Linked DNA regions of Oryctolagus cuniculus. The protein of the gene in region 2 interacts with the protein of the main gene of each other region in a pairwise test. Links are inferred from orthologs where the notes say so. Each region holds a gene or a part of one and is shown on either strand. Other genes may lie near its edges.

Evidence for each region.
Region 1: the proteins of BHLHE40 (region 2) and COX5B interact in binary tests that used the Homo sapiens proteins (3 or more experiments, as listed by UniProt). The two-hybrid records come from large-scale screens. The link is inferred for Oryctolagus cuniculus from reciprocal best matches to the Homo sapiens genes BHLHE40 and COX5B.
Region 3: the proteins of BHLHE40 (region 2) and AANAT interact in binary tests that used the Homo sapiens proteins (3 or more experiments, as listed by UniProt). The two-hybrid records come from large-scale screens. The link is inferred for Oryctolagus cuniculus from reciprocal best matches to the Homo sapiens genes BHLHE40 and AANAT.

Annotation. Positions count from the first base shown.
Region 1 is NC_091433.1:110,723,290-110,727,004, reverse strand, and holds COX5B (cytochrome c oxidase subunit 5B, mitochondrial), read left to right. Parts: upstream 1-1,197; 5' UTR 1,198-1,328; coding exon 1,329-1,431; intron 1,432-1,994; coding exon 1,995-2,068; intron 2,069-2,252; coding exon 2,253-2,352; intron 2,353-2,898; coding exon 2,899-3,011; 3' UTR 3,012-3,097; downstream 3,098-3,715. UniProt on the Homo sapiens protein: Component of the cytochrome c oxidase, the last enzyme in the mitochondrial electron transport chain which drives oxidative phosphorylation.
Region 2 is NC_091441.1:120,811,687-120,815,427, reverse strand, and holds the start of BHLHE40 (class E basic helix-loop-helix protein 40), read left to right. Parts: upstream 1-1,038; 5' UTR 1,039-1,273; coding exon 1,274-1,353; intron 1,354-1,475; coding exon 1,476-1,545; intron 1,546-1,753; exon of another isoform or gene 1,754-1,774; coding exon 1,775-1,882; intron 1,883-2,764; coding exon 2,765-2,888; intron 2,889-3,741. UniProt on the Homo sapiens protein: Transcriptional repressor involved in the regulation of the circadian rhythm by negatively regulating the activity of the clock genes and clock-controlled genes.
Region 3 is NC_091448.1:4,303,704-4,307,444, forward strand, and holds the start of AANAT (serotonin N-acetyltransferase), read right to left. Parts: upstream 2,460-3,741; 5' UTR 2,419-2,459; coding exon 2,313-2,418; intron 1,931-2,312; exon of another isoform or gene 1,869-1,930; intron 1,435-1,868; coding exon 1,207-1,434; intron 956-1,206; coding exon 801-955; intron 539-800; coding exon 233-538; 3' UTR 1-232. UniProt on the Homo sapiens protein: Controls the night/day rhythm of melatonin production in the pineal gland. Catalyzes the N-acetylation of serotonin into N-acetylserotonin, the penultimate step in the synthesis of melatonin.

The DNA.
Region 1 (3,715 bases), on a different chromosome or scaffold from region 2:
CATCTTGAGCCTTGGATTCCATAGAGTACTTCGGAAAACAGTATCCTCATCTGATTATCGTTTCACTGATTAGGACAAGGTGGCCAAAAAGAGAAAACAAAACAAAACAAAATCGGACTGAGCTGCCTGGTAGGGCCAGCTGTTTTCCAGACCAATGATTTTTTTTCTCACCAAACACCAAACCACAGGTACAAATCAACGATAGATCCTTGGGGACCATTCCTTGGTTTTAAATAACTTCCCTTCTGTGTAATCTAGAGGAGTTGCAGTGGATGTAGGAAGAAGGGGGCAACACTCAAAGCAAAACCCACCTTTGAAGAGGATCAAGTCAAGTCTGGTCTCAGGATAGAGACCATTTTTCTCCCCTTGGTGGAAAGGGCACCCAGGAAGACCACATGAGCTCCCCTGAAGGAGGAGGTCCTTTTGAGTATCATAACCCGTATGGGACCTCCACTCTCCAACCTGCCTCAAATTGCCCTATAAACCGATCCTGTATCCTCCGTCCAAGTACTAAAAATGCTATATATGCCAGGCCTCTGCAAGATACGTAACTCCACGATGATGCGGTATCATTTCCACTCTGAAGGGATTTTCCATCTGGTAGGGAACCGCAGACTTGCTAACACTTGATGCGAACCAAGCGGCGAGGAGTCGACAAGGAGGAAAGCGTTTCCCAAGGCTCTCCATGCCCACCCTAAGCCTGAAGGTAAACGGGGAGTTATTGGAGGATGTTGTCGGTTTTAAACAGAACTCTGGCCACACAGTGCGTTCTGCGACTCCACTTCCCATTATCACTTCCCCTTCCTGCTCCTCTCCTCCCCTCATCTTTTCCTTAGTTAATAACCCGCGGAAGGGTCACTCCCTCACCTCATATCATCAAAGGGCCTTGGTCCTGGGAGCGGCCACCTCTGGCTCTAGCCTCCTGCTCATCACCAGGGGGCTCATTACCCTACATAGTACACCTGTATAAGTAATTGGTACTAACGCAAGTCTCCTGACAGACGCTGACTTAAAGACTTCCGTCCGCAGCCTCCTCAGTGACCCAACCATCAGGTAAGACGCACAGCAACTCCCATTCGGCTGGGTCACTGAATTGTCCAAACCCCAGGGTTACCAAAAACCAAACCTAAAGACCCGCCATTGACGGGGCCCGAACCCGCGTCTTTGCAGTGCTGGGCATGCGCAATCTCCCCCACGAAACCGTCACGTGGACTCGGGAGCTGGTAGGAAGCGGAAGACTAACCAGGAGGAGAAAGAAGCCCGCCCCCGGAAGTCCCGCCCATCTCTAGAGCTTGTTCCCGGAAGTGGCGCTGTTTGTCGCGGGCGTGATGGCTTCAAGGTTACTTCGCGGAGCTGGAGCGCTGGCTGCTCAGGCCCTGAGGGCCCGCGGACCCAATGGAGCGGCTGCCGTGCGCTCCATGGCTTCTGGAGGTACGCGGCGCAAGGGACCGGTGTCGTTGCTCTCCCGGGGTGGTTGGGGCTGGGGCAGGAAAGCGGGTCGGGCTCTGCAGCCCCTCTGGGCCCCAGTGGCCACCTCTCGGCCCCGAGTGCATCAAGCTCTGCGGGCGTCGCCCTGTCATTTCGGGCTTCCGCTACTGCCGCCCACCGAGCTGACCCCGCAGAGTAAGACTCCTCAGCAGAGGTGCCGGATGACCTTGGAGGGCAGGGATTGCAAACGGGATGGAGCGGGACCGGGCTGCCCTTCAAACCCGCGCCCACTCTGAGCCGAGTGGACTCTGGTTGACCAGCTTTTAGAAAAATGTCGAAAAATCGGTTTTGGTGGTTGGAGGTGTGGAGAGAGCAAAGCTTCCGCTGGTGCTGGTCTTTTGGGGCTCGTCCCTAGAGGATCCTGGGTATCTGCAGCCTTTAGGAGCCCGTGAGCCCAGTAAAACATAGACAGGAGCTCGTGTGTGGCGTTTTCCGTCTTGATCATTTGCAGCGTGCCTTTTCCTGTCTGGGTCGCTAAAGGACATAATGCACGTGTCTTCCTTTAGGTGGTGTCCCGACCGATGAGGAACAGGCCACCGGGCTGGAGAGGGAGGTCATGATGGCCGCGCGGAAGGGACTGGTGAGGAGGGGCTCCCTTCTGTGTCTTCTGTGGTGCTCATGGGTCTGGGATGGAATCGGGGGAGTCGCCAGTCCTCTCCGTGCATTTGATCCAGGCAGCCTGGCTTGTGGGAGCAGGCCTCAGCTCCGGGAGGGTAGAAGTCTTATGGCATAGTGGAGTAATTCTTTTTTTTTTTTTTTTCCAGGACCCATACAATATGCTACCCCCAAAGGCAGCTTCAGGCACCAAGGAGGACCCTAATTTAGTCCCTTCCATCACCAACAAGCGAATAGTGGGCTGCATCTGTAAGTCCCTGACACGTTTTCTTAACTATTTAAGTAGTATATTCTGTTTGGGACGGCTATAAGCTGCTTCACATCTCGTGTGTGTGTGTGCAACTCTATGAATGTAAAGAGGATGTGTGTATAACTAAGTTGTTCCCAGAGTCCTGGCTCTCACGCAGTAGGTCATCCTTACTGGAAAGAGGTGTGGAACAAGCAGCAAGACTGGCTGGCTGGAAGTGCATGATGAAGATGGAATTTTCATTCACAAATCTTGGGCAATGTTTTAGGCCCCAGGGATGCACACCAGAGTGGACCCCGTTTGGAAGTCTGTGTAGGCAAGGGTATTGCTAGAACTTACAGTGACCTTGCTGTAAGGTCGGTATATGTGCAGGTAGATGCAGGGCCTCAGTTCTTCATCTGGAGAGTAGGGAGGAGAGTTTGAACTGATGTCCTCAGATGTCAGCCACAGTTTTATTTCTGTCTCCGAGGTGTCTGGGTAAAAAAGGTCAATGTTGAAAGTCTCTCTTCTTAGACCGGATGACTTTCAAACTCCTTTTGTCCTTTCAGGTGAAGAGGACAACAGTGCTGTCATCTGGTTCTGGCTGCACAAAGGCGAGACCCAGCGATGCCCTAACTGTGGAACCCATTATAAGCTGGTGCCTCACCAGTTGGCCCACTGAGCCCCTGCGCTAACTTAATCAGAATGTGCTGTGAGGTTTCTTCTTCCCAATAAAGATTAGCCATTGTATTGGCTCCTCCTCCCGTAGGTGACTGGCTTTACTTCTTTGTTTTCTTTTCCTTTTTTTTTTTTTGTAAGATTTATTATTTTTCTTTGAAAGGCAGAGTTAAAGAGAGGCAGAGAGAGGTCTTCAATCCGCTGGTTCACTCCCCAGATGTCTGCAGCGGCCAGAGCTGTGCTGATCCGAAGCCAGGAGCTTCTTCCAGGTCTCCCATGTGGGAAACCCCAAGGACTTGGGCCATCTTCCACTGCTTTCCCAGGCCACAGCAGAGAGCTGGATCGGAAGTGGAGCAGCCAGGAGTTGAACCGGTGCCCATATGGGATGCTGGCACTGCAGGCAGCGGCTTTACCTGCTATGCCACAGTGCTGGCCCCCATATATTTTTGGGTGGGTGATTCTTACATTGGGAATAGCTCTCTGTTAATACCAGCTTGCTACTCACAGTCTACAACCAGTGTGCACTGCTTAGATTAAGTAGATTAACAACCCGGAATGCAGTGCTTGGGAGCACCTAGTGCAGGGGAAAAGACAGGCTGTGGAATCAGGCTCCACCGTTGACTGTCACTCTGGACACGCCTTTGAGGATTGGTTACATCTACAGAAAAACAGATGTCTTGTGAGGTGTTGAGAAATTACATAAGAGCC
Region 2 (3,741 bases):
GACGCCGCGTCCCGGCCCGGTCCCCGACCCAGCGCAGGGCGCGGTCGTCGCTGAGCCACGTGAAGCGCCAGGGCCGCCGCCGCCGCGGTTGTATAACGCCACAGCCGGCAGGGAGGCGACCGGGGCGCGCGGAGGGAGGGCAGGCGGGCACCGCGCCGGGGGCCCTTCCGCGCTCGGCCAGCAGGGCGCGGGCCCCCGGAGGCAGGGGGTGCGCGCCCGCGGGCCGTGGCCCCGAGCGGGGCTCCCGGGCAGCCAGGGGCGCGCGGCTCACACCCTCGCGGGTCAGGTGCGCGCGGCGTGCTCGGCGGCGGCCTCGGCTGCCCCCGCGCCTGGCCGCTCGCCAGCTTCCCATGGGGTGACATCCGCCCCGCCCTCGGTTCCTCCCCAAGGCGGGCAATTCCTGGACGCAGCGCCGAGCGGTGGGGGCAGGGACGCGGGACGGAAAGAAACCCCGGGCCGGGGGCCGGGCGACTCCCCGCCGCTGCGCGCCGGCTGCTCGCCGCGGGCCAGGCGGGGGAGGAGGAAGACGGCCGGGCTGCTGCGAGCGAGGGGATATTCCTCTCCCGGCTTGAGTCAGACGCGGGCGGATCCGCCCTCCCCCGTCCCCTCCCAGGAGACGGGAACTTACTTCATTTCCCTGGGGCAGGTTCGCCCACGTTGCCAACCCCTCCCCCCGCTCCTAGCCTGCGCGCCCCCCACCCGGCCGGGCACGACCCGGCCGCGCCGCCGCCCCCTCTTCGCGGAAGGCCGGCCGCAGCCGCGGACACCTGGGGGCCAGGGCCGGGCCGGGGGGAGGGGGCTCCCTCGCGGCCGCCGAGCGCTGTCCGACACGTGAGACTCATGTGACGACGGCGGGGGAGGGCGGGCAGGGCGCTCCTTCCCTCCCCGGCAGCGGCCAGACGTGCCTGGAGTCACAGGGTAGAACACGTAGCTCCAACCCACCCACTCGCTCCCATTTAACCCAGCCCGCGGCCTCTCCATTACTCCGCGCTCGCCCCCCCGCCGCCTGCCGCCTCCCCGCCCGCCCCGCGTCTCATTCACTCGGCTCGCGCGGCGCAGACCGCACCGGGAGCGCGCGGAGCCGGAGCCGGCGGCGGAGACCCCGGCCATGCACGCCCCCAACTGAAGCAGCACCTCCGAGCCGCGGCCCCCAGCAGCGCAGCGCAGTCTCGGAGGAGCCCCGCGGAGAGACCCCCTCGCCCCTCGCCCCTCGCCCCTCCCGGGACGGTCCTCACCCGGACAGCAGCGCGCAGTGGCCCCGGCTCGCCGCGCCATGGAGCGGATCCCCAGCGCGCAGCCGCCCCCTGCCTGCCTGCCGAAGGCGCCGGGGCTGGAGCACGGAGACCTCGCGGGGTAAGCAGGCGCTCCCCTCCCCGGGCCGCGGCGCGTCCCGCACCGCGTTCAGCGTGGAACGGCAGCCCGCGCTCAGGCCGAGTCACGACCCCCGCCCCGCACCCCGGTCCCTCTCCCTGCAGGATGGATTTCGCCCACATGTACCAAGTGTACAAGTCCAGGCGGGGAATCAAGCGCGGAGAGGACAGCAAGGTGAGCGCCTCCGCGGGGACCCCGCGTCCCGGCTCCCCAGGGAAAGTTTTCTGGCTGTGGGGCTGGCGAGGGGTGGGCGCGGGGCGGCCGCAGAGCGGCGTGGGAAGCTCGGGGTAGAAGGCGGTCCCGGGCGAGGCGCTGCTGGCCCGCCGACTCGTCCCCGAGCGGCGAGCAGGGGGGGCTGCGCACCCCGGCCCCCCGCACTCACCGCCCCCCGTGCGCCTCGCAGGAGACCTACAAACTGCCGCACCGGCTCATCGAGAAAAAGAGACGTGACCGGATTAACGAGTGCATCGCGCAGCTCAAGGACCTGCTGCCCGAACATCTCAAACTTACAGTAAGCGAGAAGCTGGCGCCTCTCCAGCCGCGCTCCGCTGCCCCGGCGCGGGCGGGGGTCACTCGCCGCCTGCAGGCCCCGCGAGGAACTGCGGCCCGCAGGCCCACTCCGAGCTGGCCGGGGGACTCCGAGCGGGCGGAGGGGGGGCGCCTTGCTCTGTCCCTGGGATTTTCTGGCAGCTCCTCGCAGAGGAAGGGAGACCCTCCCGGAGCTCTCCACCCACGTGGGCCCCCAACACCAGCCGGCCTTACTTTTTATAAAGTTGAAGACGGCCTGCTGCGTACTTGCAAGGTTCTCCATATTTCCTGCCTAAAAGGAGCAACGGGACAACATGCAAAAAAAATTGTTTTTCTTTAAACTTTCTTTCCTTTCTTTGCCTTTTTTTAAAAATAAAGGGACTTGTGTGATTTCTCCATCCTGTCCCGGCTGGACCGTAGCCAACAGCCTTCTGGCCCGACAGCCTTCGGTTGGGAAAAGGAGGGAGGGAAAAGCTTGGATGGTTCTAGGGTGTCAGGAAAAAGCCTCCGAAAGTGTCCTGGCTGCCAGGTGCAGGAGTCCCTGCCCGGGCGACACCGCTGCAGGGAAATGCTATCCGCCGGTCCCCCCGCGCTAAGGTCAGCTGCGGCTGCTGGGGGAATGTGTCCCGGGTAGCTGCCACTTCCAGAATGCCTCTGCTGTGGGATCTTTGCTCCGATGGTGGGGCTGTGAGTGGACTGATAGATGTCTTTGTGAAGCCTCGATCTACGGCCATAAAACTAAATTTAGCCAACGAGGAAAGGTTTTTTTTTTCTTTCACTTCCTTCAGAGACATTTCCCACTGCTCGTAAATGTCCCAGAGTGGGGACTTCGCGCCCTCACCGCCGACCCCTCTCTTAATTTCAGACTTTGGGCCACTTGGAGAAGGCGGTGGTGCTGGAGCTGACCCTGAAGCACGTGAAGGCACTGACCAGCCTGATCGACCAGCAGCAGCAGCAGATCATGGCCCTGCAGAGCGGGCTACAGGCCGGTGAGTGCCCCCGGGGCTCAGCCTGGGGTGCAGGACCCACGCCCGCGGCAAACTGCGTGTGCCCCTTCCCTGTCCTCAAAGGTCAGGCTTCTCGCTGGGTGCTGCCCGGCGTGCATGTGGATCAGTCGAGTGATAAGATGTTTCTGTGACATTTTGGCTTCAGAGCCAGTTCCGGGAGATTTCCCCCAGTGCCTTTGCAAATGCCAGGACACCTAGAATTTGCATGGCGGGTGTTTCGCCGTCGTCTCCCTCACTGGGGAGTAGATCACGGGGATGCCCTCCGTGTTTGCCTGTTTGCTGGCTTCCCCCTCCTGGCGTGATCCTGGCCAGGCCACAGCAGAAGTTTTTCTTGTGCTTCATGTGGTTCCTTGAATAGCCACCAGGTATCGTGGGATATTGCACAATCTAACGAAACCGCTGCAGTTTCATCATTCGTTTGTACTGACTTCCAGAGAATCCGTCACCTTCCAACCTTCCAGTCTGACTGCTTCCAAACCCTGTGGCCTGGGGACGCCGCCTGGGCCCACTCCCTCATGGCGCACTTCTGTGCCTTGCTTTCCGAGGCTGGGATCATAAGAATCCCCCAGACCCAGTAGGGGCTATAATCTCTTCAAATGCAAAAGTGACGCACCTGCTTCCTGGGGGAGCATGAATAAAATACATGGGGAGACTCAGAGCCAAGTCTGAGTTTACGTGCGTGCTGCTTGCGTTGGGTGTCAGCTTCCTGTAGGAGACGGTGCGCCTTCGTTCTTTGCTTCCTGTCGTAACTCTGGTCTGCATTTTGCTACGATGATATTGGCGTTCTGTAAACTGGCCCTTAGGTTTGTAAACTAACGTTGACTGCCGTGTCACA
Region 3 (3,741 bases), on a different chromosome or scaffold from region 2:
AAGAGGCGCCCAGGGCTGCCACCGCCGACCCTGCACCCTGCGTCCAGGACTAAGGGCAGCGAGTGTGGGCGTGAGCGAGAGTGGACAGGAAAGGACTGGGCACCTGGGATCCAGCCTGGCCTCAGGCACAGAGGACAGGGCACCCGGCTGTGAGCACGGGGCAGGCGGGAACCCCTCCGGCCACACTCAGCTGGGGCAGAGGAGGGGCCCGGGGGCCAGGCGGGCAGCCCCCTTAGCAACCGCTCTTCCTGCGCAGGCAGGCGTGGCCCCGCACGGAGCACTGGAGCTCAGTGAAGGCGAGGGAGCCCACGGTGACAGCGCACGGGCCCACGGCGCGGAAGCCGAGCCTCTCGTAGAAGGGCACCAGGGCGTCCTCACACATGAGCACCGCCCGGCGCACGGCCCGCTGGCCGCCCAGGTGCTGCAGGTAGCGCCACAGCAGGACGGAGCCCTTGCCCTGCTGCCGGCAGGCGCGGTGCACGGCCAGCACGTGCAGGTGGGCCACGCGGCCCCCGGGCCTGTGCAGCGTCAGCGACTCCTGCGGGTGAGCCAGGCAGCTCCTCTGGCACCTGCTTCCCCCAAGCCATGCAGCCCAGGCCAAGAGCAGGTGACTCCAAGTGCCTCCACTGGGGGCCCCTCTGCACACAAGGAGGACCCCGACTTGGGAGCCACATCCCAGCCCCCTGGGTGAAGCCTAGGAGCCTGGGAGGGACCCAGCAACTCAGCTCCCCGCTCTTGGGGCAAGAAAATCGCAGCCCAGGGCTTATTTCTTCCGGAGCTGCAGCCACGCCCACCCTTACCTGGGTGAGCCTCTCCTTGTCCCAAAGTGAGCCGATGATGAAGGCCACCAGGCGGCCCTCCTGGAACCAGCCCAGGGACAGCTCTGGACACAGGGTGAGGAAGTGCCGGATCTCGTCCAAGTACAGGGGGCAGCTGCCCGAGACGGACATGAAGGCTGTGGCCGGAGGCACGGGGTAGGCGTGGAGGAGGGGGTCAATGTGCCGCCCACCCACCATGCACTGCCCGCTGAGGGTCCACCCAGAAACCGCACCCCTCCCTCTCCAGGGAAGCATGGGAACAGGGCTGCTGCCCCCCGACTTTCTTGAATGCACACACGTGGTCTGACCCTTGGGACCTGGCCTTCAGGACAGGACACCCAAGGGTCTTCTCCCAGGGACAGAAGGGGCCCCTCCCAGAGCTGCTCACCTTCTCGCTCAATCTCAAACACGCCGGCCGCATCCTCTGGGGTGAGGCAGCGGAACTCACTGGCGGGCAGCGTGTGGCGCCGCTGGTGGCCTGGGGACTCCGGGGACCCCGGTGGTGGGTGCAGGGCCTTGGGTTTCAGGGGCTGGGTGCTGAGCGTGGACATCCTGCTGCCTCCCTGGGGTGACCAGGCCTTGGCAGTGACCTCCGGCCCAGGAGGGCCCCCAGCACCTGTCAGAATGGCAATGGCCGTGGGTCCAGTTCTCATCTCCAGAGAAGCAGTGAATCTGGCCTCTTGTAGCCAGAACTGGGGTGGGGTCAGCCCCCAGAGCGATGGGTCCTTCCCAGAAGCCTGGTCCCCGGGGAAGCCTCTAAGCGATGCCTGGCCCGGGCTCTCTCCCCATCTTTGCTCACAGCCCAGAGGGATGCATGTGTGGGGTGGCCCCCGCAAACCTCCAGGCTCTGGTCCCACTGCCCTCTGGGTGCACCTGAGCCCCAAGGGAGAGGGGGAGCGATGAGCAGGCTTCAGCGGAGTCTGGGGCCCCCAGCGCTGCTGCCCAGGGTGGGAGGGGAGGGAGGGCCCCTGAGCCTCCATGGACCACTTCTGATGCGACTGCAGGGCAGGCCAGTGCCCCGGCCCCCGTGCGCCGTCCGTGGGGTCTTACCTGGCCAGAGGGAGACCTCAGTGCCTCAGGCGCAAGATGGAGCTTTCTAGGCAGCCTCAGTCCTACAGAAAAGTGACCCCAAGTCTCTCCTCTTACCCAGCCACAGAGTGGGCCCCTGCCCACACACAGGACTGGGCTGGGGCGGAGGTGGGAGGGCAGTGGGAGGGAGTCAGGCTACAGAGAGCGGGGGACGTAGGCAGGAGCAGTCACGGAGGGCACACAGAACACCTGCCGCTCCCCTACCCCTGCTCATCAGACTGCAGACCCACCCCGGGGGCCTCTCCCAGGGCAGCCTGCAGGTGCACAGTTCTTAAGGCCACTTCAGACGGAAAAAGCCCACGGCTCCCACAATTCCCCATGGTCTAGAAGCTCTCCTTCCCGAAGCCCGAGAGCCACGGGTTGGAGGGGTCACACTATCCAAGACTGGGGGGAGGGGGCCCCTACCTCCTCCCTCCGCAGAGCTGGGGGCCCGTGCTCGGGTGCAGGAGCCGGGAAAATCCAGCCCTGCCGCCTGGGAGACTCCCGCAGCAGGTGTCACCCGGGGAAGCATGTGATGTTGTTCTCTGAGACTTGAATCCCCCCGCCCCCCGCCCCGCCTCCCGAGCCACCAGGCAGGGCGATGCCAGCAGAGCTGGGCAGCCAACGTCAGTGCCGGCGCAAGGAGGCAGATGGGATTACGCGTGGCCGACCGAGGCCCCCGAGCTTGGGAAGAGACAGCACGGGGCTAAGCCTCGGGGATCTGGCTGTAATCCCGGCTCTGTCACCTATTGGCTGGGCACCAGCAACTCAGCCACGGGCCTGGGGGGGTCTAGCCCAGGCATAGCACTCACCTCCCGCGTGACGGCCCCTCCAGGTGGGTGTCAGCCCCTCCGTGTAGGGAAGGGAACTGAGACCCAGACCAAACAGCCTGTCTGAGCCTCCCGGTTGAGCGGGAGAGGCGGACCCAGGCCGGCCGTCTTCACGTCTTCATGTCTTCATGTCTTCACGTCTTCACGGCCGGCGCTCCTGCAGGTCCGCGGGTGGCGTCCCCGAGTCAGGCTCTCCAGGAGTGAAGGGCATCGTGCAGAAGCAGCCCCTCAGCCTGGGGAAGAAACCCCCAAATCTGGCAGGGCCACAGGGCACTGGTGGGGGCGCGGTAGCGGCCTTGCTGTGCGGACAGCCGGGAGCCGGGAGCCGCTGCAAGGGTCGCGGTTGGACAGCCACTGCCCACACGCCTTCCGGCACCCCACGCGCACCTCTGCCCAGAGCACGTGGGAAAATTCCCACATCCGGAAGCGGAGCTCAGTCCCCACCCACCCTGCTCTGCACCATCTGGTCTACCTACCGCAAAAACCAACTCAGCTGAGAAGTTCCTGCGCCACCCGTGTTCCCGCCCCATTCCCCATCCCGCCTTGCCCCCAAGGTCCCAACGGGGCAGCGGCCAGTTTGCAAAACCTGGGCAGTGACTGCTAAAGCTGAGGATAACTGCGCCCCAGAATCCCACAGCTCCCCACAATCCCACTGCTCCATGGACCCGACAGAACCTCAAAGAGCAGGAAGCAACCTGAACGCCCACCCATGGCTCAAGGGCCCCTGGAATGCACAGCCAAGGGGACCGGAAGGCCGAGCCACAGGGCACACACCTGGAGCAGCTGGGGCCTGGGTTCTAGTCACGCTCAGGATCAGGCTGTAGGGGGCACAGAACGCTTCGCTGACCTGGAATGCTTATGGTGGGGGAGGTTGGGGGCGTGCGCCAGGCTGGCCATGTGTCCACTTGTCTGCACAGGTCGTCTCCTTGGAGCTTACTTAAATATTCAGGGGGTTGCTCTTCCAGCATCCCCAAGGCTGCCCACCCACTCCTGGGGTTGTCCCCACCTCTCCAGCCAGCACACTG